3 linked regions of the Drosophila melanogaster genome follow. The protein of the gene in region 1 interacts with the protein of each later gene in a pairwise test. Each region holds a gene or a part of one and is shown in the gene's direction. Other genes may lie near its edges. The genes, in order: CG9628, CNT2 and mew.

Region 1 (12,333 bases):
TTTTCGTCAGAATTTACATACTTCTATATATGTCGATTGATTCTTTATTCGTTATTTATTCGTGGCTATTTTTATTGGCACATTTTTCACATTTATGCAAATCGCTCGGAATCAAGAACCCGCCGAAAAATGGCCCAAAGCTTGGACCGCTGCGCAGTTACAGAAGACCCGAGCTCAGCTCAAACGGCTCGCTATCCGCAGAGCCAGACATCAGCAGATTATGTCACTTGTGCCACTCACATTCGTATGGCCATATAGCTATATACACATATATAGAGTGCACACGACCAGATATCGGCCGGGGCTTCATGGTCACGGCCACCACCGACAAACGGGAAACATGGCTTAACAATTTCTTTCCTCGGTCAGCTGTTTCCTACCTCCTTCATTGGCCGAAAAAACTCGTGGCTACAAGAACATGCAAAAATGTATTTTTATATTTTAAGTAAAATAATCTTTAAATATATATCAAAATAATGTTAATTTCGATATGCTTATTCCCAAATAAACTATGCTCATGTATTTCTTTACTACAAAAAAATAAAATGGTTTTGAAATTTTTGATTATTATTTTTGGAAATTATTTTCTGTGTATCCATTATCTCGACTTTGGCTTTAGGCAAGTTCAACGTACGGAAGACGACGTGCAAACGGCGAGCGACAAAGTAAGCCTTGCAAATAGAAATAGAGAAATTTTCTCATTAGATTTTTGCCGTTTTGCCACTTTGCAGAGATCCTGGTCTAAGCCACTATCGAAACTTGCTTTCCGTCCCAGAACCCGAAGAAAACCGTCTCATGTTAGAAACGCTTTGAAAGCTGGTTTGCCAAAAGAAAAGTGAAAGAATCGCTGTGATATTTTAAAAATGTACCTAACAACTAAAGCCAAATATTCAAACCAAAATAAAAGAATATAAAAATGTATATTGAAGCAGTAAATGTTTCTTATCAATTCTTTATTGAATAAGTAATAAAATCATAATTTTACACATACCAGCAAAGTCATGCATTTCGGAAATACGTAACTTTTAAAGTACTCTTTGTTAAGTATAGATTTCTGGTCCAAAACCTCTCTTCGTACACCTTCCAAAATAAATACTTAAATAACCATTAAGCCGAGTCATTCCCGAACCCATAAACTTCGATTTCTTTTATTACATTTTTGTTGGGGTAAACAAAAATCGTTAATGGCTGTAGAACAAAATAGTCAATAAGAAAGAATCGAAAAAAAAATCGAAATTTTTATTTGCGTCTTAACCCAATTAGTTGAGCTGTAGAAATGACGGCCAGAAATTGTGAAATTCCAAGATCAAAACAGAGCGACGAAGAAAACAAAACCACGAGAAAGAACTTTCCCATCGTTTCTTGTTTTACATAATAATCGGTTACATAATATGCTTTCTACCCACCGCTGGGTGCTTTCTTCTCCTTCTTTTGGCCTGGAGTTGGGAGCTGGTTTCCAAGCCGGTTTTAGCCAGCTGCTTTAGCTCCCTCCCATATATACCTCTTGGCTGCTTCTAACGCAACTCTAACGATGAGAACGAGGTGGAGTTGTGAGTCGTGAGTGGATCCCATCTGCATATTAATCAGAGAGTGAGCCGTAGAATGGGGCCGGTGCAGAGGAGAATTCGCAAGAATTCTTATTAAAAAGCGAGTTTGTGTTTTTGTTGTTCTAAGCACGTTGGAAAAGTGAGAAGCGCATAGAACAGCGCACGCGTCGCGCTGAGAAGCGATCTCATGATGAGATGAGGAAGTGATTAAGCCCCCAAGAAGGAAGTGCTCGCCTCAGATGTCTGTGATTTGTATTTCCAGTTTATTTTCTTCTTTCTGTCCATTTTTTTCTACATTTGCACAGGCCTATTGGCGAATCGCAAATTTGCATTAATGGATAGATTTGCCACACCTCTCCCGCCGAGTATCACGCACATTTCTAAGCGAGTGGCGTCACGTAGATAAAGACATTACTTACCTGGGACCGAAGACTTCTTATCTGGCATTCTGATTCTTTTGCAAATACCATTTTTCGGTAGCCCAAAGTCATAGAGAGGTTTTCTATTCGTACTCCGCATTTATTTGCCAAGCGATCGTGTGGCTGTTCTGTTGTGTGGCTAGGGCAAATATTAGAATCGATCATCTATCCGTGGTTTCTGATTTTGTTTCTTGTATTTAACCGGGTAGTTCATTAATCACTTTGAGCAGGTAGCCCCCTTGAAGTTTTAATCGATTTTCATCTTATTTATATAGTATTTTATATCCGGTTGGCAATAGGAATAGAAAAAAGGTTTCGACGGAATGGTCTTATAAGAACAAGGAAAAAACTCCACCTAAAAAAGACCAATAAGAAAAATAAATCCTCTCCTCTCCACTTAGTGTTCATTGTCTGGCAGACCCTCAAAAGATTATCATCTCGCATTTCTGATATAACTAGCTGAACACTCAACAATTTTATAGGGTAGGTTAGGCATTTGTCTACTTTTGATTTTAAAACAAGATTAATTTCCATTTTAGATTAATTAAATTTTAAATTTTAATTTAACGGCAGAGAAGAAAAAAGACCTTAACGCACTCTATTTTAATGGCTCTTTGTGTGCCTATTTAATCGTGCATAGAATAATTGACTTGGTCTTGCGGAATTTGTTGACTTTATAAACATTTATAATCCCCAATAAACATCACAATTAGAGGCTTTTGCAATCTTTTGAAATTCGCAACACAATCGTTACACATATTTTTTTTTTTGGCTATTAACCTTGAACTTTATCACGCTTGTTGGGACATTATCTTATCTAGTGTGAAAACCCAAAAAGCTTGTTTCTTTTCTGCCAGCCATTTGCCTTGCAGAATAGCCAAAAACCCAAGAACCAAGAACCGAGAACAAAGTGTTATCGCGTGTTGCCAATAATAATGCAAAATCGATGATCAGTTGTTGTGACCAAAAAAGCTGTATAAAGTCAAATACAAATTAGTCGACCGGTTGGCATCGATTCGAAACGAAAGGCCAGACTTCAATTAAAGACCTAGAATTGCTGGCGGGAATTAGCATAAGTGCCTCCAAAGCGGATCAACACAGTAAGACCCAGAATTCTAATTGCAGCGCCCCATGGTAATGGCCGTGATACTGTTGCTGGCCCTGGCACTCGTACTTGGCTGCTACTGCGCTCTCCATCGGCACAAATTGGCGGATATCTACCTCCGGCCGCTCCTGAAGAACACGCTCCTTGAGGACTTCTACCATGCCGAGCTGATCCAGCCCGAGGCGCCAAAGAGGCGGAGGCGCGGCATCTGGGACATACCCGGGCCAAAGAGGATTCCCTTCCTGGGCACTAAGTGGATATTCCTGCTCTTCTTTCGACGGTACAAGATGACCAAGCTGCACGAGGTATATGCGGGTAAGACATTATTTAGTTAAGATAGTTATTAAAATCTCTCCCTTTCAAAGTTCTCTATTAAAAATACGTCTTGAAAATGGGTTTTATTTCTTAGCTCTATAACTTAATATAAATTCTATTATTGTAGTTCTGAGTTAGTAACTCAAGTATTTTAATAATCTATTTCTATTATCTTAAATGTACATTCTAGATTTGAACAGACAATATGGCGACATAGTGCTGGAGGTGATGCCCTCCAATGTGCCAATAGTGCACCTGTACAATCGCGATGATCTGGAGAAGGTGCTGAAGTACCCCAGCAAATACCCATTCCGACCTCCCACTGAGATCATCGTGATGTACCGTCAATCCCGACCGGATCGCTATGCAAGTGTTGGAATTGTGAACGAGCAAGGACCAATGTGGCAGCGCCTACGATCTTCCCTGACCTCCAGCATTACTTCTCCCAGGGTCCTGCAGAATTTCCTGCCAGCCTTGAATGCGGTTTGTGATGATTTTATCGAACTACTGCGAGCCAGGCGGGATCCGGATACACTGGTGGTTCCCAATTTCGAAGAGCTGGCCAATCTGATGGGTCTGGAAGCTGTGTGCACTTTAATGTTGGGCAGAAGGATGGGTTTCCTGGCTATCGATACCAAGCAGCCGCAAAAGATCAGCCAACTGGCAGCTGCTGTTAAACAGCTTTTCATCTCCCAAAGGGACTCGTACTACGGTCTAGGTCTGTGGAAATACTTTCCCACCAAAACGTACAGGGACTTTGCCCGCGCCGAGGACTTGATCTATGAGTAGGTACACAGAAGGTTGGGCTCCCATTTCTATTCCCATCTAACTTAAATCGCTCTCAATCCAGTGTGATCTCCGAGATCATCGATCATGAGCTGGAGGAACTCAAAAAGTCGGCTGCCTGCGAGGATGACGAGGCTGCTGGATTACGAAGTATCTTTCTGAATATTCTGGAGCTCAAGGATCTGGATATCAGGGACAAAAAGTCAGCGATCATAGACTTTATTGCCGCTGGCATAGAAACGGTGGGTGTTTGGTAGTATTTCAAATGGAATTCATGTTAAACAATTTTTAATTTTTAGTTAGCCAACACTTTGTTGTTTGTACTGAGTTCTGTTACTGGAGATCCCGGTGCTATGCCACGAATCCTAAGTGAATTCTGCGAGTATCGGGACACGAATATCCTGCAGGATGCACTAACGAATGCCACATACACAAAGGCCTGTATACAGGAGTCCTACAGACTGAGGCCCACAGCCTTTTGCCTGGCCAGAATCCTGGAGGAGGACATGGAGCTCTCGGGCTACTCGCTTAATGCAGGGGTAAGTTAAAGCTTAGTTTTCGATCACTCTCACTTTTATTTCCAAGCTTTTGGAATTTACTATTTTATATTTTATTTTTGGAAATAAATATTAGTTTCTCCTATCAATAATTTGTTTCCGATCTTTAGACTGTGGTGCTATGTCAGAATATGATAGCCTGCCACAAGGATAGCAACTTCCAAGGGGCCAAGCAGTTTACCCCAGAGCGTTGGATTGATCCTGCCACGGAGAATTTCACGGTGAACGTGGATAATGCCAGTATTGTGGTGCCCTTCGGCGTGGGTCGAAGATCGTGTCCAGGAAAGCGTTTTGTGGAAATGGAGGTGGTGCTGCTGCTAGCTAAGGTGAGTATAATCCATAAGCCCCAGGGATCGTATTTCTAGGATCACTGACTAAAACAACCAAATTTATCTTTATCAGATGGTCCTAGCCTTTGATGTGAGCTTTGTGAAGCCACTGGAAACGGAGTTCGAGTTCCTGCTGGCACCCAAAACTCCACTCAGTCTAAGACTCAGCGATCGGGTTTTCTGATAATGGGTGCTTTAGAAAACTGATCCGAAAAACAGTGCCTACCCTCAGGCGTTTTGTATCAAATACAACTAAAATAGCTAAGAACTGAACCATTAAGTAAAATTAATGTAAAATATGCTTAGGTTTCTACACATATCTGTATACATATATATGTATATCCTTTATCCCTGATGAGCCAGCATCAGCAGCCTAGTCCTGTGAAGCAATCAAAAAAGAGCTAAACCAATTAAAATAAATTAACAAATTTATGCTGACTGGATGTAAAGTAGATTAGAATGTATATACAAACGTCATGTTTTGTTGTAATTACTTCTTAAATTTATTTTTAGTCGTAGCAAATAACTAGCAGCAATTGTTTTTGAGAGTTCTGTAAACGGAAAGACTGTGTTTAAGTTTTGTTTTTCACGATTTTAACAGTTTTACATATTTTCTGTACATAGTTTCGCAAAAATTTGTCACTCTAATTATGTACAGTTTAACTTTAATTGTATTTATTCAAGTGTTTTTACTGCCTTTGTCTTTATTTCATCTCTACATCTGTGAATATATTTGTTAAAAGAAAACAATAATTAAAGAAAATTAATTACATTAAACAGAAATCAAATGATAAATGTTATAATATAAATTATTGAGTTTCATTTAATAGTTATTTTCTGAGACCCATTATAGCACAGGAGGTTAGCTTTCTCGCCTTTTTATTTTAAAAATGCATTTTTCATCATACAATGGTGAGACTTATTTAGACCTATGTTTTATTGTAGTTATTTTTGTTTTCTTTGGCAAATACTAAACACACACTAAATGACCCTAAATATCTTTATTTTTTTTTTTAAATTTGTATGGTACCGATTTTAGGTTTCGGTTGACGTCTTTACTATTATAGCAGGGAAATTTCATAAAAGCTTTCAACAGTCGCTTCCCACTAAGCTGGGCTTTGTTTTTAAAATGTTTTTTTTTAAACCAACGACACAATTTTACTTCAAAATTTAATAGAGCATTTAAGTTTCAAACAAAACTCGAGATTAAATTGTTTGCATACATGGCGTGCATGTGCTAATTTTTAAGCCGCCATAATATGACTTAATATTTGTTCAGCAAGCGTTGACACACGTCTTGGGAATAATTCTCATTGGGAAATATTCTCTTATTTTTGGGCTGTGGCTCAATAGCTCGTTTGGCGGGCTTTGGATTCGGTTTTGGGTTCAGGTTACAACAGTTGTCGTTGGCGTGTCGTCGGTTTCAGAGGTTTTTTGAAAGACGGTTTTTAAAAAACCAATTTCCGCTCTGAGTCGCAGTTTAAACTGAACTACTGAAACTATTTAACGCGCGTGAAAGAATTCATTGATTTATCTGTGTATTTAGTGTGAGATATAACTTAACAGCTAACCCAAATCATTTGGCTGCACTTGTGTACCGCACCTATCTGCAACTCAACGAAAATTTGAAAAATGTAATATAATAACCCAAAAATGAAATTCTGAGTAAAAACTAAAACTAGTTTGTCGTTTGCTCGGCAGTTACTAATGTTTAAACAAGTTGAAAATGCACTAAACAAGAAAACGTAAAATTTGTTCAGCTTCCGTTGAAGTTTTGATTCTCCCCCAAAGATCTTCTCATACGAATGGAGTCTGTGAGATCGGAGGGCCCCACCCAGAGCTAATTGTACAGTAAACAAGCACAGATACAACAATAACTACATCAGCAAGACGATCGCAGTAGTTTGTTGTTATTGTTAGACATGCTAATTTTGCACAATCTACACACAACACTACACTGGCTAACACAAATTAGTTTGTTTAATGTGACTCACTGACAATTTTCTCACCATCAATGCGGCCCCTTCCCTTTGATGCAGCTTTAATTAGGTGACAAATACTGGGGTTTATAAAGCGAAAAAACAGATATCTTACGTTGGCGTAAAAAAACAATTAGGTAGTGCTCAACTAAAGTATACGAATTCTTGGAGCACTTACGAGCAGTTATTAAGTTAATGAGCTTTTTAATTTCTTTACCGTTCTTGAAAACACATTAAATATTTGAACGCTGTTAGTTCAAAATCTGTCAATATGTAAACAATATGGCAAAAACTCTGAACCCAGTTGTTGTTTATATTAGCACTCAATTACACGTTCCCTTTTGCTAACTGAACCCTTTCGATTCAATACCAATATCATTTATGGGCACTGACCTTCAATGACAGGCCCGACACGAAACAATAACAGTGACAGTAACGCCAGTACACTCATGGTAAATCCCGACGAGCCTTGGCCAATTGCTTTGGCATTGAATTTACCAACAACCCCTAAGGGAGTCGCCTAGAAAACTCCCCCAAGCACCAACCACCCTCGTAAGCCCACATCGCAAAATGTTGCATGTTTTAGCCCCAAACCAAATGTTTCCCCATACCAAACGTGGTGTGGGTCTCAATGGGGTCAAAGGCAAGTGCAGTAGCAATAGATATTGTAGGAATATCTAAATAATTTGCAAAAATGCCGCCATGAACATTGCTTTTCAAGTTGTAAGGCTTCAAAATTCCCATTCATAAGATTTATGGCTTGCCATTACTTTTTGTTTACAACAGTATTAAGTAAAGTGATAACAAAAATATTGTCAACAAAACGTAAGGATATTACTCTCTAAAACCATAAAATAAAATAAATACAAAATTTTACATTATAGATTTTTTTTAAACGCTTTCTGATTGATTGAGGACACATCTTAGTTTAATTAAAAAAAAAATAATTGGTTATATGTAAAAGTTAAACGCGAAAATGATTCCTCTTGGTACAATATATACATACCCTCTATGGGTATTGACCGTGTTTGGAAAATGCAGCTGGAAAATCGCGAACTGCCCTTCGCGGGCAGTAAAAACTATGGCGATGACCAAGTACAGTAGGCGCCTTTTGCATATATGTATTTGTGTTTCAGGTGGTTCTGCCCTCTCACTCCCCCATCGTCCGTCCCTGTCGCTCTCGCCTGCAACCAGTTTGCAGTTGTGCATATCAATGCAAGTGATGGGTGAGGGTTAAGACACGCGCGGGGGGCAAAAAAGGGGGCGGTAAGCAAACAAGTTTTGTTGCATTTTTCAATTGCCCAAGACTGCGATTGAAAGCTGAGAAATACAGATAGTACAGATGATGTAGCTCTTTGGATCTCTGGTTGTCCGGAAATGAGAGATATAAACCCAAGTTAAGATGGGAATGGCTTAAACAAATTCTTTGGATAGAATCGAAGAACCAAAACAAAAACGGAGAATCGAGTCATTGACCCAAAACTCAGACCAGTTATAGGGCTGCTTAGTGTGAAACAGTCCCTTTTGAGCCTGAAAGCGAAACGAGGTTAATTCACAGTGCTGGCCACTAAATTATGCCTACCTTTCGAGAGAAAATATCCCCTTTAAAATACGCAGGTGTGGCAGGTAGTCGAACTCTTAGATCCTCTCTTTAAGCCAAATGCTCTTTTTTCTAAAACAAGTTTTCTTAGCCAATACGTTTTGTTTACCTTTTTTTCAGCTTCGTGGCTTGTTGCGTGTGTTTTGTTTGGTTTCTGCTTTTTGGGCTTTCTTCTAAGCGCCGCCAAAGAAAACTTGTTTATTTTTTTTGGTTCAAAGGGGTGCTGCGGGGGGTGTTCGAGTGTGGGCCAAAACGTGAAGCACTCGTTAGCAACAACACGCAAGCAGTTATTCACTGAAATTCCCATCTTGGAGAGCCACATACTCGAAAATTAGTGGGGAGATTTAACGGGTAGAGAATTGGCTTAAAAGAAATCTATTATATATGTTTATATATACAATTCTGTTTTACAATAAAGTGAACAACTAAAGTTTAAAACTTTTTGATATAAACCTAAACTTTTATATATTTGGTTTGATGTGGAGAGTTACTGTTAGTATATGAAATTATCACTTTGGATTCAAATAGATTAATACAAAAAGCTAACTACATTCCACTGCTTTCAATAGTGGTAGTTTTCTTTACCCATTTGCTGTTTACCTTTGCAACCAGAACCTAGACACTAAAATGTTTATTAGCTCCGAGCCCTCGTTTTGTAAATAGGGAGTGTCTTGGGCCCATTTTTATCATTTTCCCTCCATTTTTCTCTACAGCTCTTTCCCATCTCACTCCCTTTCACATTTTCCCCCTCCCCGAACGCAGTGAAAGTTGTGCGTGGCCCTTTTTTAGGGTTTGTGTTGAGTTTCCAGTTTCATTTCGAGTTTGACTTATTTTTTCTGGTTCCCCGCCCCCCCCTCACATTTTAATTGTTGTTTATGGGGTTACGCATCGTGGGGTTAACTAGCACAGTTCCCTACTCTTTGTCCGCCCCTTCACTTTTGCTGAACGTGCCTTTGGCTAATATTGGGATTTTATGCTTTGTTCTTTATGTGATGCAATTAGCTTCAATCAATGGGGGGACCATTGTTGCCCATGAAGTGGAGATCCAATTCCCCACTTTATACACGGCAAAAACGAGTTACCGGTTATGATAACCCAGAAAATCATTTAAGCTGAATTCCAAGTAAATTTCAATAGTATGCAAATATTTGATATTAAAGAATCCAATAATAGAGAACTTCTAAATTATGAGTGGCATTCGTTTAAACTTTTTTTTGGAAAAATTCTCTCTTGATATACAGAAATTGGTTACTTTCCGGTTCGATACACTTATTTTTTAGTGTAGAATCAGAATAAAGAACTATATATCAAAACAGGTGTTGAATTGTGTCCAAAAGAGGTGACAATTGAGCGACAGTAGCTTCATTGTCGGTATGCAATTAATGATTGAAAATAATGGAATTATAGATGACGGTTCACAAGACAGCGATTATAGTTGGATTTATTATTCATACGACTTTTTGATGCAAACTCACGTAGGCTGCTCGCATTCCCAGGTTGAATTTGGTATGCATCTCGGCACCTCGCTGTCGAATATAGCCCCATATGTTCATAGATACATAGATATATACCCCACCCAAAAGTCCCACACACCCAATATATGAGATCATCGCAGAATGTGCCCTTAATCAATTCGGTCTGCAACTGGATGTATTTCATGTGGGAGAGGAAGACCTTCGGCCATCAATTGACACAAATCCACAACAGAACGTAGATTGTTCGGTTTTACTCGTTTGCACGCTCCACTGACCATCCAATAACAAATATCCGATAACCCAGACATGGAGGCCAAAAATGGCCACTAAACCCGACTTTAACTGAACACTAAAAAGCCAAAATTGAAGATTCCGTTTCCTCTGTAGGTCGAAAACGTATCCAAATCAGACTCTGCAAAATGAGCTACTTGCGATCGATAGGTACATATACAATAAGTTTTATTGTCATTCTTTCCTCGCTCCGAGCAAATGTCAAAGTGGCCAAAATACCAATTGATATAGTATAGTGTTCTTTAATTAATTAATTGTTTAATTGCTCGGTGCAGAAATCTCACGCGTCGAAATGTCGCCGGCTGACGATAATTCCTTTGCCACAACTCATGGAAACAAAAAGGCCACCTACACGGTGATATGCATCAAGATTGTGGAACTGGTGAGTTTTTGTTAAATTTAAATACTCCTTTAAATGGAAATCTTTTGAATAACTTTTAAAAATCAGATAAGAAACTAGTTTCATGGTGTCCAATTACATTTTATAAAGATTCAGCATTTTGAGACGGCTTCCCAGTAATGCCTAAATTGTTAAAAAAAATGATTAAAAACACAAATAATTTATGAAAACTATTCGTCGTTTCCCATAGTGCCTGCTTATATGCTGTTTGGGTCTGATCGACGAGCCGGCCACCAATTCTCATCTGCGGGTGTTCATCACTCCCCGAGTGGCTTCCCTTTGCTATGTGACCTTTGGAGCACTGACCATCTACACGGCAATCTATCTGATAATGGCGCTCTTCGGTGATTTGTATGCTTAAAGTTTGATTTAATTAAAATGCTAGTACTGATATATTTAATGTACACATAGGACTCCATGGCGTACGGCTACTTTGTGGAATCTAGTGGCCTTTGTGCTCTTCGTGGCCGTAACCGCCCTGCTTTTCCGGGATTGGTCCACCACCAAGGATCGCAACTACTGGCACCCGAATATGCATCGTTTGGATCTCGTGATGGCTTCCGCCTCGATTGCCTTGGTTACCTCGCTGGTCTTCTTGCTGGACATACTCATCACCCTGCGTTTAGGTGTCCACGGTGATCTAGAATGACATGGTCGATCCCGTGAAGTTTGGCGAGAAAGAGATATACATTCGATTCTCGCCTAGCGTGGACTGTAATATTTATAGCTCCAGCTTAGAAGTAAGAGCCCCGTTCACATACCCGTCTCCCAGCTAATTGTAATCCCACAAGAAAACAAATTGCCATCATCGAATCGAAAATGTACAAAATCGACGTCCGAGGAGGTTTAAAGTTCTTAATCGGCTGCCCTGTTTTGTTTTTTTTATAAGCTTAATACATCGAGCATCACGAATGTTATATCTAATTCAATTAATAAATAAGATTCAACGCAAATAAATTTTGTACGAGCGAATAATATCCCAAATTAATAGTTTTTCTATTAAAACTGTCCAAATAAAAACGTCTTATTTAAATGTATTATTGATAATTAATGCGCTTATTATATACAAAAATAGTAACTAACGAAAAAAAAAGATGATGCAACTTTTAACGAGGCGAAACAATATGTCGTGATAAAATCATTAGGAGATTTTTAGTCACTTGGATTTTATGAAATATTTTTCAATGTCCTGATCGTTGTTTATCATCTGCAGGCCATGAAAAGTTTCCTTTATATAGCACTTTCCAGCATCGCCATCTCCTAGAGATTTATGGTCCATTTTAAAGGTATTAACAGACAGGAAGTATGAATATCTTACCTAAGCTTCCATCACAAATGCGCTGAGTGAGCAATTTTGCCAAAGCTTTGAAAAGCTCTTTGGTGGCTATTTTTCGTTTATAATACGGATTGAGCCACTGCACCACATTTTTGCTGACATCTGTTTTTTGATGGTTTCTGGTTTCTGGTTTTGTATCCTTTTGCAAAACTCTGGAGTCGGATCCTTCCTTCTTCAAGTTCGATAACGATTCC
Region 2 (10,646 bases), on another chromosome or scaffold:
CGGCCAGCAGCCAGACGTAAATTGAGCTGGCAAAAAAACGTACTTTCAATGTAATTCCAGACTGCGAATATCGGTAGACGTAACACAAAAATACCTAGTCGTCTGATTCTGCCGTCAGCAGAATCTAAGTGTCAATTTACAATTCATACCCCGCACGTTTTCCATTCGAAATGCTTCCGTCCGTATATTTGAAATCCATTGGATTGGGTTGGGTTGGCTCCAAGTGGAGCGGAAGTAACGAAAGCCCGAATATCTGTTTTGGATTGACTCATGTCTTGAAAGTTATTGCCCTGGATCGGTAAGATACAACATCGCAGAAGCAGATTCAGCTCAAGGTGCTACTAATCAAAATTGCTCATTCGCACCGTTGTGCGCTGCGCTCGGCTTTCTTTGTCGTTCAGTTGTTGTGTTTTTTGCTCCGCTTACTTCTTGCCGTTGGTTTGTTTTTGATGCTTATTGCATGCCCTTCATGTGCGCATTTTTCAATTTGCATTGCATGACCTACGGCATATTGTACTCCGATTTTAATGGTCCCTTTGGAATCACGTTTATTTCAGACATTGCTGTCCCATGGAGCGTTTACCGAACAGAACCGTTTAAGTCTCATCTGGCGAGTTGGACATTGCCAAGGTAAGTGTTGTATTCGAATTCATTTAAATTTGGGTTTCCATTTCAAAGTTTTGCGCCATACACTGCTTGCTCGCGTATCGATCGTTGTACTGCTTGCCAACTGCTTTGTACAAACGATCGCTGCGTAACACTAATAAGTGTGTGACCGTACTTGAACAAGAACCACCGTTTGAAATAAAATTTCCCGCCAATATTCGAACTTCTGTTATACTTTTTAAAAACGAAAAATTTAAGGTATTAAAATTCAATTCATTTCCTTTTTATTTAAAAATCGTTTTGAAAGGTGATCGAAATCTAATCTAGCCAGCAGTATTAAGAATTAGGAGTGTATATTTAAAAAATTTGAAATATATTAATTATAACTATAGTTAAAATGAAATCTCGCCAAGCAAATTATTTGTTAACTATACCATATTTTTTACAGAAAACCAAGGCTAGACATCTTCTTCAACGGTAGCAACTCCATGAAGAACAGCTACAACACCCCCAAGAGCAGAGCGTTTATCGAATCCACCACATCCAACTCACCCACGATCGACAACCAGCTGGACGAGAGCGGCGAGTACGAGAGCCAGCAGCGTGTGCATGCCCCCCTGGTCCACCACCGGCGGCACCACCACAACCACCAGCAACCGGAATCGGAGTCCGAGTCCGCACAACTCGAGGCCGAGATCGAGGCGGAGGAGCTGATGTCCTCGGCGAGCAACAGTGAACAGCAAATGGAGCCGATTTCGAACCACCACCGACATCGGACCGGCCACCATCACCCGCATCACCAGCTGCACCAGCACCATCACCATCATCATCGCCACACCAAGCACCACAGGATTCCAGCCCACAAGCAGGAATAGATGCCACAATCACGCGCCCATCGATTCCCCACTTTCTCTCCCCCGAACTCATGCTGGTCTTAAAATAATGTCTTGTTTTATATTTGTAACTTTAGGGCCAGTTGACTTAATTAGTTTTTAGTTCATCGGTTTGCCAACCGCGTAACCTTATTTAAATTATATTTTAAGTTTCGTTGTAAGCAGTGCCCATTTTCGGTCAAAATTTGATTTTATTTTTAAATCTCCTGTACTCTAGAAGCCTGTGATTTAGATGGGGTTGAAGTCGCACATTTTTGCAACAAAAATTGTCAAAGCCTCAAGAGGAAGGCAAGCCCGGAAAACAATTTATACGAATTTAAGTAATATATTTAGATGCTAAACAAAATTAATCAATGCCTTATCGAAGCATTACAATCCCTAACTTCTGCACAATTCCCTCGAAAACCAGCAAGCCAAGAACGAACCAAATCAAGCATTTTCGATTCTATTGATAAGTGATTAAAGTCCCGCAATATAGTTGTGTTACATCATAAATAAGTCACTAGGTTTAAAGTGCCTTTCTGCTAAATCTCAAAATTCCCCATTGGAACCCATTGACCCTTTGGTTTTAAGATTTTAAGAACCACATGTTCATCCAGTCAAAGCACATTGTATCCCTAATCCTTCATATCCATACCTACTAAGTGCATTTGCAAGTCGATAAATGAAATATAAAGATGAATATGATCTATTAATAAATTTAAATCGCACGAACACGTGTAGAGTTGCGAATCAAATATAAAGCCAGTTGACTACAGACTTTCTTGTATTATACCCCTTTTGGATCAGATTATCACACGAGGGGCTCGACGATAAGATACGATGCTCTTTCCTATTAAATCGCACAGAATTACGATTGGCAACCTCCTTTAACTTTGCACCCTTCGATTGGCCAATCAGTTGTGTCATTCTGCTAATCGCCGACCACCAATAGAAGTCTTTATCAATGGGCGGGTGTACGACTCGGTATCGCGGTAGCCTTCCTCTATCGCAATATAGCTATCAGATTCCTCAAACGTCATCGCTATCGCATTCAATCTGCTGAGGGGTTTATGGCCCTTCTGAAAATTATCTGGCACTAATATCGGCCTAGAACGCATGCCGAGAACATCTCATTGTTAACAGCCAGCTGATAAAACAGGCAACATGTCATCTCAATTGCCTATTTAGCGGTACACTGCCATCGCAAGTGTATTAGGATGCACAGGGAAAAATAAGTATAAAGAACTTAAAAAGATTATCAATCGAACCTACTTGAAAATAGGGCAATTGATCATCATTAACTTAATATTAGACTGATATATCTCAATAAATATTATTTATAATATCTTCAAAGAAATTTTTTTTTATTAAAATAAGAAAAGTATAAGATGATTGAAACCAATGTGGATTCTAATATTATCTGCCTGTTTTCAAATGTTATTAAATTATTATTTTTATTTTATATTATAATTTTTTAATTGATATTAAATTGATCTTTTTCATCAGTGATCCATTTTGCGGCATTGCACTTTAAGTTAAAACTCAATTTGTAAAAATTGAGTTGGTACAATCAAGCTAATATTTATTTAATAATTATTTCACTGTGTAGTTAAACCAAATTAACACCTTACCAATCGGTATCACACAGTATTAGCTGGGTACTCAAGTACCCATTGATTGCTATGATGAAATAAAAAGCCTCATTAAATATTAAAATCGAGAAATTACAAATTTCTTACGAGCTTTAATGTTAATTTGAGGTAAGCTTTGCTCTCAACTTATATTTCTGTAAATCAAAAAGGCCAAATGGTATCAAGACACCATAAATTATTAGATAGAAAAAAGGCAGTGCGAATCCTAAACCTGATACCTTCTTATCAGATACCGTGTAGTAGCGATTGTATTAAAAAGGCCCGTTCGGAGCAAACCGAATTTAGTCTTGCCGCGAGTTTCAACGAGCTACAATGGCAGTTAGCCAACGTTTTTAGTCTGGCTAAACAGATGCATTTATCAGTCATTTGTATTCGGGCAGACAATAACGACGTTAAAAACCCGTTTCGGCCATAACAAACCTATAGTACTCATCAGATACGAAGCAAAACAAACAGTAAAAAGGTGAATTAACTGTCGTTCCAAAAATTCAAGGTGCGATCATTATATAGACTTAAAATACAAACTGAATACTCGTATAAAAAACGTGTTTTTGAATGTGAACTCTGTATGATTTTAGTCAATTTTGTAGAAAAAACAATAATCGGCAAAAAACACGTGTTCTCGAGGCTGAATATACATATAACCATGTTCTCAGAGCTGGTCTATTAAATATAAGTGCTTTATTAACTTTCACGAGTTTGGCTAAATGCCACTCTGATAGTGCTATCAACTCTGTTTCGATTACCCAGAATGGAAAATCCTAACCGAAAGACCACCTAACGAGGAACTATACTATATTGAATGGGATTTACAGCCCGAATTTATCAGGAATGAGAATTGAAGTGGATTATTTATAGCCTGTGCTGTAGTTTACAGCCCAGTCCCGTTGTTGGCCTCTTAAGTTAATGCCCGGAAATTATTTGAGTGGCCATCCACGTGCTGGAGTTTAGTCATTGACTCTGAAAAACTAAGTGCCCAATTCAAAAATCCTGGCCCATGTGCAAATTTTAAAATTGGAATCCGCGGATCCTATCGCTTGCTTTTGAGTGGCATGAATCGTTCAAATTGCCAAACTTTGATTCAGATAGCTAACACACACCTATCTTGTGCTGTGCGACACTTGGCATATATGCCCACTCGAGTCGAGGGCTAAAATAATTTGAAAGAGATAATGCCAGATTATGATTGCGGCAAATTACTTGTCGCTGGGTATTAATACCACATACTCGTAGTTTTTCTCTAAGTATATTAGTTTCGTTTAGGGTATATAAGATATATATAGAATATATATAGAAAGAATTTGACCCTATAAATAGTATATTCTTCATAAGGATCCGTCAGTTGTCCGTCCGTCCGTCCGCATGAAGTTCGATATAGAACTCTAGGCAACTTTAGGCATGCAAGTTTGTTTTAAGCCGTTGCCACGCCCACCGATATCGCTAAAGTCTGCCCACATGCTTAACGTCTAAATAATGTTGTGATAGGCTTATCAAAAATAGGACTCGTTCAAATTGGACCATTAGAAAGGTATTAAGAGTAAGCTGAAAGCTTATTAACAAAATATAGCAAGTAAATTTGCTGCCAAAGCAACAACTCGCTTTGTTGTACCGGGTATATAATAGTCGATACACTTAACTTAAACGTTCTCTCTTGTTTTTTGTTATAGATGTCAGCCGAATCATCAAAAGGAGCTATTAACAATGGCTACGAACTGGATCATGTAGGTTTTTAATTAAAAAAGCTTTGTAAACCAGATTAAATATTATAAAATGTCATAGAAGGAGTTGGACATCCGTGACTCGGAAGAATTCACGGAACATCCACTGGATGACACCAGCGAGGTGGCAAATAAAAAGGGATATTTTGAAAAGAATCCAAAAGTAGCGCGACTGGTGAGGATCTCGATTTATGTACTGCTGCATCTGTGTGTTGTGGGGTACTTCTCATATGCAACCTACCACTATCACGACATAAGTAAGTATATCGCCAAAATAATTAGCAAGAAGTATACCATTATTTATCTACAGCCAACTATGAGTGCTATTGGAAAGACAACCCATTGTGCGGCATCAACTTCTGCACGGGCTATGGAATGCTCCTGCTCCTCCTGGGATTCATCTATTTGGGTCTATTCTACTACTATGTCTTTAAGCCGATGGTGGGGCACAGCCTGCACAGGAACTATATCAAACCATTTTCAAAGAAATGGCACAACTTCAGCAGAACCAGGTAAACTATTATGAAGAAAATATATGTTTAAATCTTCTAACTACTCCTCTTCGTTTTCCCAGAGTTGTGTCATTGGCCAGCATCGCATTGCTCCTGGCCCTTTTGGCCATCTTTGTGTACTTCGAGTGCCGGGACGAGACCCAAAAACTGGTGTCCCTGGTGGCACCCTGCTTCTTCATCCTGTGCGGCTACGTTTTCTCCACGAATCGAAGAGCCATTAATTGGCGCATAGTCATCACGGGAATCACGTGCCAGTTTCTGCTCGGCATTTTCTGCATCCGCTGGGAGGTGGGACGAAAAATCTTCGAGTGCTTGGGCAACAAGGTGGCCACGTTTCTGGGCTATGCCACCGATGGAGCCGAGTTCGTGTTCGGCGACTTCCTGGTGAACAACAATGTGTTCGCCTTCGCCATCCTGCCGGTTATCTTCTTCTTCAGCTTCTTCATCTCCATCCTGTACTACATGGGTACAATGCAGTGGGTGGTGATCAAACTGGGCTGGATCCTGCAGCAGATTCTGGGCACCACTGTTTGCGAAAGCGTGACGGCCGCAGCCAACATCTTCCTTGGCATGTCCGAGAGCCCGCTGCTCATTCGGCCGTATATCAACAAGCTGACCAAGAGCGAAATCCACAGCATCATGGTGTCCGGATTTGCGACCGTGTCCGGAACCGTGTTGGCGGCCTACTTGTCATTCGGTGCATCGGCCGCGCACTTGATCACCTCCTCGGTGATGGCAGCTCCCGCTACTCTGGCCATCTCTAAGCTTTACATGCCCGAAACGGAGGAGAGCCAGACCTCATCCGATTCAATTGAACTGGAAAAATCGTACGTATTTCTAAGGCGCCTAGTTTAACCCAAATGTCTAACTAGTTCACTGTCATCCTTGTAGACAGGACTCTTCGCTGCTGGACGCAGCGTCCAGTGGTGCCAGCAACGCCGTGCCCATTGTTCTGGGCATTATCGCTAACATAGTCGCCTTCGTCGCCTTCATCGCCTTCCTAAATGGTCTGGTCAGTTGGTTTGGTTACCTGGTGGGTCTCGAGCAAATCGACTTCGAGTGGATATTCTCTAAGCTGTTCATCCCGCTGGTCTGGGCCATGGGGGTGCCAAAAGAGGATTGCGATATCATCGCCAAGGTGGTGGCCACCAAAACCATTATCAATGAGTTTGTGGCCTATGAGCGTCTGGGTCAATACATCGAAAATAATGATATCACTGTAAGTTGTAGATGGTGTGAAACCCATAGCTCATCTGGAAACTAACGTTTGAGGTCGATTTTTGTAGGCCCGCAGCGCTGGAATCGCCACATTCGCCATCTGCGGCTTTGCCAATCCCAGTTCCCTGGGCATCCTTATCGGATCCCTCAGTGCTATGGCACCACATCGTCGCTCCACCATTACAGCAGTGGCTTTCCGAGCGTTTGTGGTGGGCAGCATAGTCTGTTTCGTATCCGCCAGCTTTGCAGGTCAGTCGATAAACGATCATAAATATTTCTTATTATTTTAACTAGTTTTACTTTATTATAGGCATCCTTATACAAGAAGATGACGAGCGGGCGAACTACAACAGGATATTCGAGAAGTTGGGTCGAAAGAATGTTACTCAGTTTTAGTTCCTTAAAGTTGTAGTTCGTGATAATTAGCTGATCAAATTTAGCAAAATACAATTCTTATTTATTAAAGATGTTTAGGATTATTTTTACCTATTTGTTTACTAAGGGGCTGTGGGATATAAGTCATAAGATCCACACAACACTTCTTTACACTACACACTGTTTCTCATTTATACACACAATGGCAGAACCAATAGAAGGCGAACAGGAGGAAAAGCCTCCGCCATCGAGGGCAAAGCGAATCACCTATCTGGTACTCCATGTGCTGCTCCATATCATATTCATATCTTACTTTACGGCAGCCACAATCATTTTCATCTTTTACGGTAAGTTACCCCTTTGAGTTCGAATGTAAATGTTTATGAGGAAAAACCCAGACAAGGATTCCAAAGAATGCTGGCCCAATAGGGGCTCGGAAGCCACAACCGAATCGATAGATAACTCAACCGAAGATGATGATGATGATGATTATGACACAGAAGAAACTTCTGAGAAGCCAGTGCCAGAGGTTAAGCCAAAACTATTGTGCCAAATTAACTGGTGTCATGGATACGGGTTTCTCATCGTCTTGTTCATCTTGTTTTATATCCTATGGCTGTACTACTGGGTATTTAAGCCATTCGTGGGCATCAAGCTGTATAATAACTACCTGGAACCAGTGATTGACAAATGGATTGCGTTTAGTCGCCAGTGGTGAGTACAAGATCCTTTGAGATGATCTCCCTTCAGACTTGAACAGCAGTACCATAAGTCAAAAAATTGTAGATGTTCAGGACCTGTAAAGATTATCCATTCGAATACAATATATATATATTGGTTAAGAACTTTAGCTCCTGTCCACAATGTATTTGAGGCTCCAAAAGATTCTTCTAAAAAGCTAAATGCTTTAATCCTTATTTTCCATTTTCTCCAATTCTAGGATAGTGTCCGGCGTAATGCTGGCGATTGTGCTCGCTGTGGTGGTGGCATACCTCGGATTCGAGTGCCGCAATGACGCATACAAGGCCATCGGACTGCTCGGACCTGTGTGCTTTGTCCTTATCGGATTCGCCGTGTCCAAGCACCACTTGCAAGTACCTTGGCGCATAGTGACCCACGGTCTCCTGGGACAGCTGCTGCTGGGCATACTCTGCCTGCGCCTCCCCTTTGGCCGGTCCATCTTTCAATGCCTTGGGGACAAGGTGACGATATTTCTGAACTACGCACAGCACGGAGCACGCTTTGTGTACGGGGATCGCATTTGCGATGAGTACGTCTTTGCATTTGCCATACTGGCGGTGGTGTTCTTCTTCAGCGTGATCACCAGCATTATGTATTACCTTGGCTGGATGCAGTTCATCCTGAACGGTTTTGGGTTCCTCTTGCAGGCCATGGTGGGCACCACCGTTTGCGAAAGTGTAAATGCAGCGGGCAACGTGTTTCTAAGCATGACCGAGAGCCCTCTGGTCATCCGGCCGTACATCGAAATACTGACCGTCAGCGAGTTGCACGCTATATGCACCTCCGGCTACGCGACAGTGGCCGGTACTGTCTTGGGGGCTTATGTGTCCTTCGGTGCTTCCGCCAGCTTTCTTATCGCAGCCAGCGTAATGGCTGCTCCGGGTTCACTGGCTTTCGCCAAACTGTTCTACCCCGAGACCGAGGAATCTCTGACCAGGTCCGACAACATTAAGCTGGAAAGCTCGTAAGTTCCTCTTCATAAGAGTCAACATTTGATAATCGCCCAGACACCTTGCCAAGGACGGATACGTCTATTTTGGATGCGGCCGCCTCGGGAGCTGCAGCAGCCTTGTTGATTGTGCTCGGAATCGTCTCGAATATCATCGCCTTCCTAGCCATTGTGTTCTTCCTAGACGCTGTAACGGAGTGGATTTTCGAGCTAATTGGACTGCATAACATCACCCTACTCTACATTCTCTCCCAGATCTTTATCCCGATTGTCTTCGTGATGGGCGTGCCGTGGCACGATTGTCAAGCAATTGGCCTGGTGGTGGCCCAAAAGTCGTTCATAAACGAGTTTGTGGCTTATAGAAACCTGGGCATATTGGTTAGCGATAAAAAGGTTGATGTGAGTACCCATCTGCATATTCTATTCTTATAGATTATTTTAAAACTAGTATTCTTATAGCCGCGGAGCGCTGCCATAGCCACTTTTGCCCTTTGTGGGTTTGCCAATCCCGGATCCCTGGGCATTGTCATCGCTTCGCTGAGTGCAATGGCACCATCCCGACGATCAGACATCACCAGGGTAGCCTTTCGATCCTATTTCGCAGGCAGTTTCGTTAGCTTTACATCCGCTTCGCTTGCAGGTAAACTGTCTTTATTTACACGTTATTTTTAACCGCCTTATCGCACAACATCTTAATTAGGGATTCTTATTCAAAATGAGTACACAGGTGGTAATTAATTGATTTAGGTAAGTGAGCGATACGAAAAGCATAGAGCAGGGAGCTAGGGTACAATTCCACTCAAATTGGCCATTACCTTCTTGAGCAATTCCCAGTCGGCAGCATCGAAATTCGCGGTGCACTGGGTCAGTTGAAGAGAAGCCTCATATATATTACGAAGGATTTCTTTAGGCGCCAATTCACTCCGTCGACGTTTTAGACTAGAGACCGGACATTTATGATCTCCATGGCGAATGTAGCTTGATTTACTGAGATCAAATGAACCGTCGACAACAGTTCCGGGTTCGACATGCAATGCCTTAAACAATGGGTATATTGCATGGCGGGCACTAAATGCTCTTAGTTGGGCGTCATCGCTGACTTTGCAGGAGTCGAGGAATTTCTCGCGATACCAGTTTGTGCATCCAGCATTTGGAGGCAGTCCCCTAAGTATAAGTAATTTGGTGGATCCATTCGCACGCGCTAGTAGTTTGAAGTAAACATTAGCAAAGCTAATGCTCTTGTCAATGCCTAAAAGTTTATTGGCCATTTCCGATGTCCGCTGAAACCAATGGGAACAGTCGATTTGATCGTGGTGCACCAAAAGTTCCAGTAGAGCAACCTTTGGGTATAAAAAATCAAGGTATGTATATCCATTTTATAAGTGTACTTCTACTTGCTTACCACTTCATAGTACAACTCAACTTTTGTGGGCGCTGAGGTGGAGATGAGTTCTAAGCGCTTCAATATCTTCATTCCCACGTGGCCATCTGATTTTGCGACGACAGACAGGTGCCGGAAGTTTTGAATGCTTATGACAGGAAGTTCCTGCTTTCCCAAGCAGTGGAAGTACCTAAGGAATCGTTGTACATGCAATTGGCTTGGATTTGTGGAAAACATGGCGTAAGAATTATTGCACTTATGCCAGTGAGCCATAGCCTCTTTTATGGCATGATCTGTCCAGCATTTGTTGGCCTCTTTTAGCCTAAAAACATAGAATAGTGAAATAAATTTTAAAATGTATGATTTATAATTACTAACCGAAAGCACAGCATGAGAATATCCGCACACACTTGCGATGTAATAAAATCCTTTTGAAATATGCCGGCACAGAAATACCTATGTAGTTCTATGTTACCCACTAAATACAAAAGACAACCAAACGCATCCAATACTTGATTATAGCGTTCGCCGTGAACAAAATTTTTAGCATCTGTGGGCTCAGTAAGTAGTAAGAAATAAATATGATCGAATCGACACCTTACCTTTAAACAAATATTCA
Region 3 (9,344 bases), on another chromosome or scaffold:
TTTCTTTTGCCAAGTTTAATAACTAACGACTCGTATTTGCATGATTTTTTTTTTTAATAATAATAATTAAATTTATAAAGCAAGCGGTTGATTTTTTAAATTGGTAGAGTGCTCGAGAGCTCTTTAATATAAAAGTTGTATATGTATAAATATTAATAAATTCTCGCCGGGCTTTTACTAACAAAAAATGTAATCATTTAATTTTTTAAGATTTTCCGGTAAGAGAAGTCTTAAATTGCTACCGCATTTATACCAGAAAATTCGTGGTCCACAATAATCGATTTATCGATAATATCCGACTGAACGAAAATTCAAATCTAGTGTGCGAGGAAATTTAGAGACGAAAGTTTACGTATTTAAGCGTCCAGTAGTCATTGAGTTAAGTGTAGCTACCTGATTCGGATAATTAAGTACTTTTACTTTTTTGGGAGCACAACAAAATTTTGTTCTCGTTCTTACTTTTACACAGCAAAATTTTATAATTTTTTAAAATTTTTCTGCCGGGCTGTTCGACGAAGCAAAATCAATTTACCAGTACTACGACGGTGAGTGACGATGCCAATCGCTAACTTTCTGTACACACGTATGTTACCATTCCGAGAAAGTTTCTAGATAACAAACACGGCCATTGCAGCTTACTTGTATAATAAAACACATTTCTAACACGCTTTTTACACGACAAACCGCGGTTCGATGTCAAAAGTTCGATGCAATAAGATCGACCACTGCTTGCTGGGCGCAGTTCGCGGCATTAAGCCGCCCTATCGCTCGGTGCGTAATGCCCAAGACGGCGTGATTAGCACCTTCCTGGACAAGTACAGTAGGCCCAATTATTTTGCCATCCGCTTGGTGATACCCGCCGAGTTGCCACCCATCGATCTGGCCGAAATACTTATGGACATGCTAAAGATGCAAATATTGCGCCGCAAGAATTGTATCGCGTCGTCCAATTGGGTCAGGATGAAATATATATGTCAATACGGCAGCAAAGCCGATGAGACGTTCATCATGCATGACAGTGCCATGAGAAAACTGCAGCAGGCCATTGAAGAGCTCACCAATCTGCTCGATCAACTGAAGCTGGCGTATGAGCCCGTTTCCTATGGACGGATAGCCGTGCAGGCTCAACAGTTGGATAAGCGGGCCCAGATATGGCAGAATTTGCTCAACGGCCGCAATGAGCAGTTGGAGCGCCGTTTAGCTCGGGACATTTCACTCCCATATCCTCCTGCAATAGATGCCCGCATGCGCATTTCGAAAAGTTATCAAGTTATCAACCATATGCGCACTTGGCGTTTCGGCTAAGGTCAGCAAATTAGAATTTGGTCGAATTTGTTTGTATATCAATATGGTCACTAAAGATGCTGCTGTGATATTTTACCTTGCTTTTGGATATATATACATTTCTTTGGATAGCATCTACCTGGACTGAGACGTTCTACTGTCATAGTGATTCTGATGTCGTATGACTTCTATATTAACTTTAAATTAATCGAGTGCAACGCATGTCGAGATTAATAAATAACATATCAACAACAAAACACAAACTTTGACTTACCTCCGCGCTGCCCGAATTGCAAACAAAGAGAATGATGTTATCCAGCCCTCTAGTGTAGTGGAACTGCTTGTGCGTCTGCTTGCTATATGTTTGACCACTGCTTGCACAGCGCACATGTATGTTCGAACCATGTTCGAACCATGTTCGATGGTAGCTCAGTAGCTTAGTGTAGCTCTTCTGTGCGAAGCATTTTATTTTTCGTTTGCCCGTCGAAGAAGGCGAAGCGAAGAGAAAATATCTGCCGCTTCGAACGCACGCTATCAATGTCTAATTCTTTACGTAATAATCATTTTTTTTTTTGCTGTGTGACTGAAACGAAGAAATATACGAGCAAAAGTGAAAAATACGTGGACTACCTGTTGATCCAAAGATCTCAACGGATTTAGTGTGTGTGTGTGTGTGTGCGTGCGTGTTTTTTTTCGGTTCATTGTTTTGTTTGCAATAGTGCAAAGGAAAAAGTAATCACTTTGCCGTGTTCGGTGCACGTGCACGAAATATTTATAAAATATATATTAAAAAAAAAAAACATAAAATTAACGATGTTGGAGCTACCGTTTACCACCATACGGCCCAACTGCCGGCTAAGACAGAATCTTGGTATTCTGATAATCCTGCAATGCGTTCTCACTTGCTACAATTTCAACCTAGAACAGCGATTGCCCATTGTGAAGTACGGACATCCGCATTCGCATTTCGGCTACTCGGTGGCCACCCACACTATTGGCGAGGCCAATGGGCCCAACAAGACCAACTGGTAAGTGGATAGTTAAGTGGATAGATAAGTATCTGAAAGATGCGTCCAAAGTATGCGAACTTCCAAAGTGAATCATTATCTGCAGTTCATTTAAACGCTTAGGCATATTTTTATTTTTCAACAATCAATTTTAAACTTGCATCCAAAAGATTTATTCGAAAAGTGTCTTGTTGTCTCAGCTGTGTTTTTTTTCTTTAGAAAAATGTTAGGTAAACAATAATGCTGAAGAACAGGTAGAGAAGAATCCAAATCCAAATTCGTGTCCGAATCGGAAATTCGCGCCAAGAATCTTGTTGGTGCGCAAACAGGTTTTTATATTCGCCAAATCGATTTCAGCTTAATTGACTGGCATTGATTGTTATTAATCAGCAGCACACGAACAATAACAACAACAACAACAAATAATAAAATAATAATAATAATAAGAAGAATTTGCATTGCAATCGCTGTGTTTGTTGCTGTTGTTCAGGGGGGGGGGGGGGGCTATCAAAGTTTGCTAATGCGCGAAACTTGTTTGAAATCGTGTTTTTATTGTTGAATTACCATAAATTGTTTGAATATCGAGTATTTCCAGAGATGATGCCAGGTTTTAGATGTTTTTCGAATCGAAACAAACCATAATAAACTGAATGCATATGCCAAATGCAATGACAGCAGATAAGTGTTAAATATTATATTTGTTTGTTTCTCTTTTTTTTTTTTCGAATTGCTATTTGAAGAATTTCAACAGTTTAAACGATTTGTCATCCTTACTATCTGAGAATTTGCCTGTTTGATATTTTATGGTTTTGATTGTTTATTTTTGTGCAACTGATAAGCATAGTTGGTCGAAGAACAGACGAATTGTTTTAATGTTTCCCCCGACATGGGTTAAACCCTTGAACTATTGCGACTGAAGCGGATGTGGATTTATTTGCATTTGTCATAGATTCTTTTTGGCGAGGGCTTGGTGCTCATTAAATGTCTCGTATTGGCGACTTTATAAGTTGGCCAACTCCTTTTCGCATTCTCTATATACAATACAAGCAATACATAGATAGATAGATAGATAGATACATTGGCCAAACCAAACTCGGTAGACAAAACGGAGCCAGACGGCCAGTGGCCATAAAAATGGGCAGACAACAAATCTGGAATCAATACAAGCTGCGACTTGGATGCGCCAATTTGCAGCGAAAAAAACTGAGTTGCTAACATTTTAATACATTTAATACAACTGAACTGGCAATCGAGTTATTCCCGCCACATGGTGTGGTTTCTTAACCATGTATTGTGGTAAAAAAAAAGAAATTGTGCCATTCGCGGCATGCCCCATCGCTATCACTCGGTGCGTAATGCCTACGTAGGCGTGAAAAAGTCATGTTCCCCTTCTCTCTCTCTTGCCAAGTAGTGCCCTCTCCTTCGGTCACCCGAATAAGGGAAAGGGATATTATTATTATACTTATCATATATATGTTTATATATATCATTTATCGGCCGACGAGTCTAAGTGTACCAGCCTGAGTCATTTGGGTTAAGTAACGAAATGTCACGTATTGAAAGTCCAACTGAAAATCAATAGACCTTCAAAAAAAAAAAAATAATAAAAATAAATTTGCAAATGAGATGCATGATAAACTTTGAGCTTTAACTTCAATGTAATGGTGATATTATATGGTGGTGACCCCGTTTGGCAAGAAGTGGTGACCCACGCTGTTTCTTAAATCTGCATCGCGTCTTTAAATGACGCACTTGAAATCGGAAGAAGCTGTAATCCAAACGGAAATTGCTGTTTTTTTTCGCATCGAAGGCTAGTCCGATAACTGCAGTGAATTGCACAGTTAACTTGAATTTCCAGCTCGTTTATTGCGCGCCTTTTGTTTTTCAGTTTTGTTTGCACTTTGCGATTGTCGCATATTTGTTTTATTAATGAAAAAAAAGGTACGTATGCAAATAATGTGACTCGCTTATCGCTGGCCCATCTTAATTTTTTTTTTGTACCAGCCATATATACCAGCGGTTACGTGGCGCAATTATTACCTTTGATGATATGGTACAAATTGAGATAAGCCGCTGAGGATGGTCGATTAAGCTATACAATTGTTTTCGTACCCTTGCCGTGGCATTTACAGCGCCATAAAAAATGTGTATATATGTAGGCGACTTTTTTTAATTAGCACCTTCAATCAATCGGCATTAAATAATGATTGGCTTTGTTAATGAACTACAATTTCATTGCGCTGAATACTCAATATATTGCAGATTGAAAATGGTATGAAAATGCTAGCACGATTTTAACTCGCTTGCATGTAAATAAATCTCTGAGATTCGGTGTATCTCGTAGATGTTGTATCTCATGTGGGATACTTCTTCTGCATCGCGAACAGCTCACTGGTTGTGTTTATGCCGACAACATGTGTTCCTTGTTTGCGCCAAAAAATATAGAAGAGAACAAAAACTAAGAAAGAACTTAAAAAACTTTTCGGCGAAATGAGGTCAACAGACGCCAAACAGTCGCAAGAAAGGAAAGGTTGGGGGGAATGGTGGTGGTTGGTTGGTTGGGTGGTTGGGTGCTCAATGGGGTGGGCTATCCACTGGGGGCTGGTCGACAGTTTATGGTTATTGTTGTTGCTCTTTTACTCGCTGCTGGTGCGTGTGTCTCCCGCCAAATAGTTGAATAGTTAACCCAGGCCCAGCAACACAAAAAAAAAATAAATAAAATAATAAGAAAAATATGGGAACCCAACCCAAAAGTCCATTTCTCATCTACCCGCGCACCCAGCACCCCCTTTTCCACCATTTTCCTATTTTTTCCACTCGTAAGCAAATGAAGCCAAAAACGCGAAAACGAAAAGCGACAAGGAAATGGCCAAAAAACACTTGCTAAGGCAATGTAAGCTGGCAGACATGTGTGTATGCCATAAATATGCGCACTGGCACCCACAGTGAAGGTCACAAAAATGCATGGAATTTAGTTAAATATTATTTAATATATGTAAACTACAAATAATGTATTACATGCCAAGAAAGTTATTTGAAATATTATTTTTAAAATAATTTAAACTACAAATGTAAGCTAGAAATGTATTTGAAAAAATGAATGATTTTACTTTAATTTCGATCAGCTGCTTACTATTTTTATGACCGCTGGTGTTCATATAGATTCTCTGTAGGGATCTTTGGGCATTAAGTGCGGACTTTTCGACTTTTCTAAGGCGGCCGAAGCAAAAAAAAAAAAAAAAGGAAGAGATGGGGGTGCGACTTCTGGCAGCCAAGATCCATGAGAAAAGTTCACTTGTTCATTTTTGCCAACAGTGAACACTTACAGTAAGACAAAATTGTTTTAAGATCCTAGTTTTAATATACAGCATGTGTGATATAAGAAGCATTAAGAGCACTTAAGGAAAATTGCTTAGATATTTATCTATCTATCTGTAAACTTTTGTCATACTGAGTGCCCACTGTGGAAGTGAAGCCGCCTGCTCAATGGAACGTTGAGCGGGCCATAAACATGCGTGAAAATTCAATTGATTTTCCGGGGAGCAGAAGGCGGCATAGTTGGCATGCGTATTTATAGAAAATAGAGGAACAGCCTAATGCTGCACACGAAAATAAGAAAATAACAAAATAAAAAATTGCCTATTTTGGTGTGGGAAACAAGAGGCTGGCCTATTCGGATTCGCATCGGAAAACCGATCTGGCAACTGGGATTGCGAATGGGATTGCGATTTTGCCTGGGCAGCCGCCAGCTGTCGAGTGGCGAGATACAAGACGGCGCAGATATTCAGATACTCCGAGAGACTTGCAACATAATTTCTGCCAGCAACTAATGAGACCCCAGGCTCCGAAAGTGTTGCCACAGCCTCAACTCCATGGAGCTGCGCAAAAAAAAGCGCGTGGGCTTTGATTTATTGCCAATTGGATGGCAGTCGCACAGCAGAATCGCGCTGAAGAGCTGCGAAGATTTGGGGCGGAGAGCCGCCGCTTTCTGGCCCCACTCGAAATCCCAAATCCGAATCAAAATCAAAGAGGAAAAAAATAAAAAACAAAATCCCATGGCCGCGTGGGTTAAACACGAAGTTGCAAAAACGAAAAAAAAAAAAAATCAGAAAAACGCTCACGATGATTTTGCGCATAGAAATCAAAGAGCCCACGCCTCGGGCTCTTTAAAGTGAAGAGAAGAATCGGCCCACTAGAAGAACTGGGCACTGAAGATGCTAGCGACCTCCGAAGAATCGCGTCCCTAAGCGAACGATAAATCAATAAGCTCCGAAAATGTGGCAACCGCTTCCACTCTGCCACCGCTCGAAACTCCGACAAATTGCCCACTGGGCTGGGCAACCGCAATCTCTTAATGACGGAGGATGGGCCAAAGATCAGTGGGCTTCGGCAGAGGATCAGCGAAATCCAAGCGACAAAACAAAAAAAAAAAAAGGAGCGACAAATGTTGGGTACTACACAAATGCAGGCTTTAAGAAGAACACTTCTTCAGTTCCCAGGAAGCATCTTCAGAAGAGAAGTATTATACCATATATATGTATGTATATTATATATATGCATATACATATATTATGTTAGAAGAGTAAAGAACATAAGATCCAATATTATCTGGATCATTGGAATGCTCGAGATGAGTTCAATTAGATAACTGGGTTGTCAATTTAAGTGTTTGCATATAACTAACTAGAGTATGCGAAAGCCAGACCTCGACCGAGACGAGGTGGGAACCGCAGATCCGAGATCAGATCCCAATGCCCGATCATCGCATGGCACTAACCCCATTGGTATCGCAGTCACATGGGTGAGATTTATGGAGCAAATACCGTGGTTACCCCTTTTATTTGGCCACGGATCCCTCGCTGCTTTCTGTTTGCACCGCGAGAATTGTGCGAATGAAACTCGTTACCACTGGGGGAGAAGAGAAAAGGAGATAGAGAAAGAGAGACAGAGAGAGGGAAAGACATAACACGGCAAAACAGGCCAGACAAAGCCGCAGATGGATCGAACCATTGCCAATAACCGTACCTGCCCCAGTCAACAAACTACACTGAAGAAAATGCTCTAGTAGTGAGAATATTTGCATATGTGTTACTTGCATTTGATTTGCATATTTGTTGGATTGGCAATTGAGTATTCAAGACCCAAAGGTTGAGTTTGAAACCAATCACAATCCCCTTGCTTGATCTTTTTCTCCAGTGCATTGGCAGTAAGCTGAGACTTTGTTGGAATCGCTCTCCATCTCCGCCACATAGAGCTCCTCTGCGGCACTACGCCCCTGTTAACCTTCCCGTCCACCTCAATCCGGTCCAAGTGGCTTCTGCCCGCTTCTTCTCTTGGCGGATCTGCGATCGTGTTGCTAGCTGTTGCTTGTTTCTAATGAAAACTGACGCCGTTCGGTTTCTTTTTCCCAACTCCAGTTGCTTTTTTTTTTTCGTATGTTTTTTTTTTTACGGTTTTGCTGGTTTTTTCGGGGGGTCTTTGCGTGCTGAGAGATCGGTTTTATTTTTCTCCGATTTTTTTCTGTTTCTTTCACGGTATTTTTTTTTTTTTTTTTTGGGGTATTTGGTTGTAACGATTTTGGCTGGCAGTTTGTTAAACATTTTGGGCCATTCGGGGTGAACCAAATGAAGATCGTATCGAGCCTTTGGGTTAGTTAGCATCTAAGAACGTTGAGTAGGAGAGAAAACCCCAAATGAAATTGATCACTTTTGGTGTTATGGCAACTCTACACGAGAGCGGCAACCTTCTTTCGCTGCAAACGGGGTCACCCTTGGCATTATTTGATCAGCTTAAACGTTTGAGCCACTCAAAGTGGTTAACATTTGCGGCTAAATGTTATTAATTTGTTGATGTTGCTTAATTGAGATTTTTCTTGAATCTGATATTATATGATCATTTTCTTACAAAAAGAAGATTGCTATTTTTCTGAAATAATTATATTTATGCATCAGATTTGACACAAAGAATCGATTATTTGTACCGTTCTAAATTATTTGATGTCTTTTCCATAGACTTTTCGAGTTCTTTGCGTCTTTTCACATTTTTCTTAGATTTTAATGGACTTTTTCTTCTCCTGAATTATTTCTCTCTTTTCTTTTGGACCAGGCATTTTCCTGCCTTGATTGCTAGCTGTTTGCTCTTGGCATTTCGAGACGAGGCGTTTGGCTTCGCGCAATTTGGTTGCAACTGTGCCGCGGAGTTTTTCACATTCCCTGCCACCTTTCGCCGCTTCGCTCGGCCCTTATTTTCACTTGGATTTTCCTCATTTTCCCGATATGCATCTTCATCTCTTCACCGGGTTCTTTTTCACATGCTGCTGCGAGATTTTCGTGGCTCGTTTATTTATTATGATTATTTATTTTGTTTTACTTAGTTTGCGGCTGCCTGCCACAGATGTTGGCAGTTCATCAGCTGAAAAAAAAGGGGCGGTGGTCGGCAGGGGGCGGGGCTGCCCACACACATATTGAAATACCGACATATACTTGCACATGGGCTGAGGATTGATTAGATTTGTTCGGTTGAAGATTTTCCTGCTCTTTGCTTTCGAGTTTTCTTCACATTGAAAAGTTCAACAAACGCTTGCCACGCCCACTGTCGCCCACTTTTGGGAAGTCTTTGTTTGTCTCCACCCGTAACACACCCCCCTCCCCCTTTTTCTGTTACAGAGAGCGAAAAGGCATCAAGTTTAAAAATGGTATTTTATAGTAATATTTTGAATTTTTCATAATTGTTTCATAAATCTTAGCATTCGCACTGCATAATATAGATTTTTTTCTAAATTTTCATACACTAGTTTCATATTTTTTTTTTGGCATTTTGTGCTGCAGCAACTCTGCGAATGCAAATCCTGCCGCAACTCGACTTGCCACGCCCACCCGCCTTCGAAAAGCTATGGCACGTGGGCGTTTTTTGGTGCCATGTTTGCTTGACGAATTTTGACTTCGACTTCGAGACATCGACTGCGCGAGTTCGGTTTCAGTTTTTTTTTTTTTTTTTTAGTTCGTTGCTGTAAAACCCAGCTGCAACTTTAGAGCGCAACACCCAGACTAATAG

What was found.
Region 2: the proteins of CG9628 (region 1) and CNT2 interact in a two-hybrid assay, tested with the Drosophila melanogaster proteins (one large-scale study listed by BioGRID).
Region 3: the proteins of CG9628 (region 1) and mew interact in a two-hybrid assay, tested with the Drosophila melanogaster proteins (one large-scale study listed by BioGRID).

The regions. Positions count from the first base shown.
Region 1 is NT_037436.4:14,616,342-14,628,674, forward strand, and holds CG9628 (uncharacterized protein), read left to right. Parts: upstream 1-6,454; 5' UTR 6,455-6,566; exon of another isoform or gene 6,567-6,692; intron 6,693-10,499; 5' UTR 10,500-10,531; coding exon 10,532-10,553; intron 10,554-10,678; coding exon 10,679-10,785; intron 10,786-10,993; coding exon 10,994-11,154; intron 11,155-11,214; coding exon 11,215-11,452; 3' UTR 11,453-11,833; downstream 11,834-12,333. Other genes in the region: shd (shade), read left to right, coding at 3,104-3,386, 3,577-4,171, 4,237-4,414, 4,472-4,711, 4,840-5,055, 5,132-5,242; RecQ5 helicase, read right to left, coding at 11,960-12,063, 12,122-12,333.
Region 2 is NT_033778.4:9,075,316-9,085,961, forward strand, and holds CNT2 (concentrative nucleoside transporter 2), read left to right. Parts: upstream 1-3,405; 5' UTR 3,406-3,596; exon of another isoform or gene 3,597-3,626; intron 3,627-4,800; coding exon 4,801-4,854; intron 4,855-4,912; coding exon 4,913-5,108; intron 5,109-5,161; coding exon 5,162-5,363; intron 5,364-5,425; coding exon 5,426-6,190; intron 6,191-6,254; coding exon 6,255-6,582; intron 6,583-6,649; coding exon 6,650-6,830; intron 6,831-6,891; coding exon 6,892-6,977; 3' UTR 6,978-7,059; downstream 7,060-10,646. Other genes in the region: ana (anachronism), read left to right, coding at 558-630, 1,055-1,481; CNT1 (concentrative nucleoside transporter 1), read left to right, coding at 7,159-7,303, 7,355-7,670, 7,897-8,661, 8,718-9,045, 9,106-9,286, 9,347-9,384; CG13742 (uncharacterized protein), read right to left, coding at 9,429-9,986, 10,049-10,349, 10,406-10,577, 10,630-10,646.
Region 3 is NC_004354.4:13,249,585-13,258,928, reverse strand, and holds the start of mew (multiple edematous wings), read left to right. Parts: upstream 1-1,745; 5' UTR 1,746-2,097; coding exon 2,098-2,312; intron 2,313-9,344. Other genes in the region: CG15742 (uncharacterized protein), read left to right, coding at 694-1,305. UniProt on the Drosophila melanogaster protein: Integrin alpha-PS1/beta-PS is a receptor for laminin.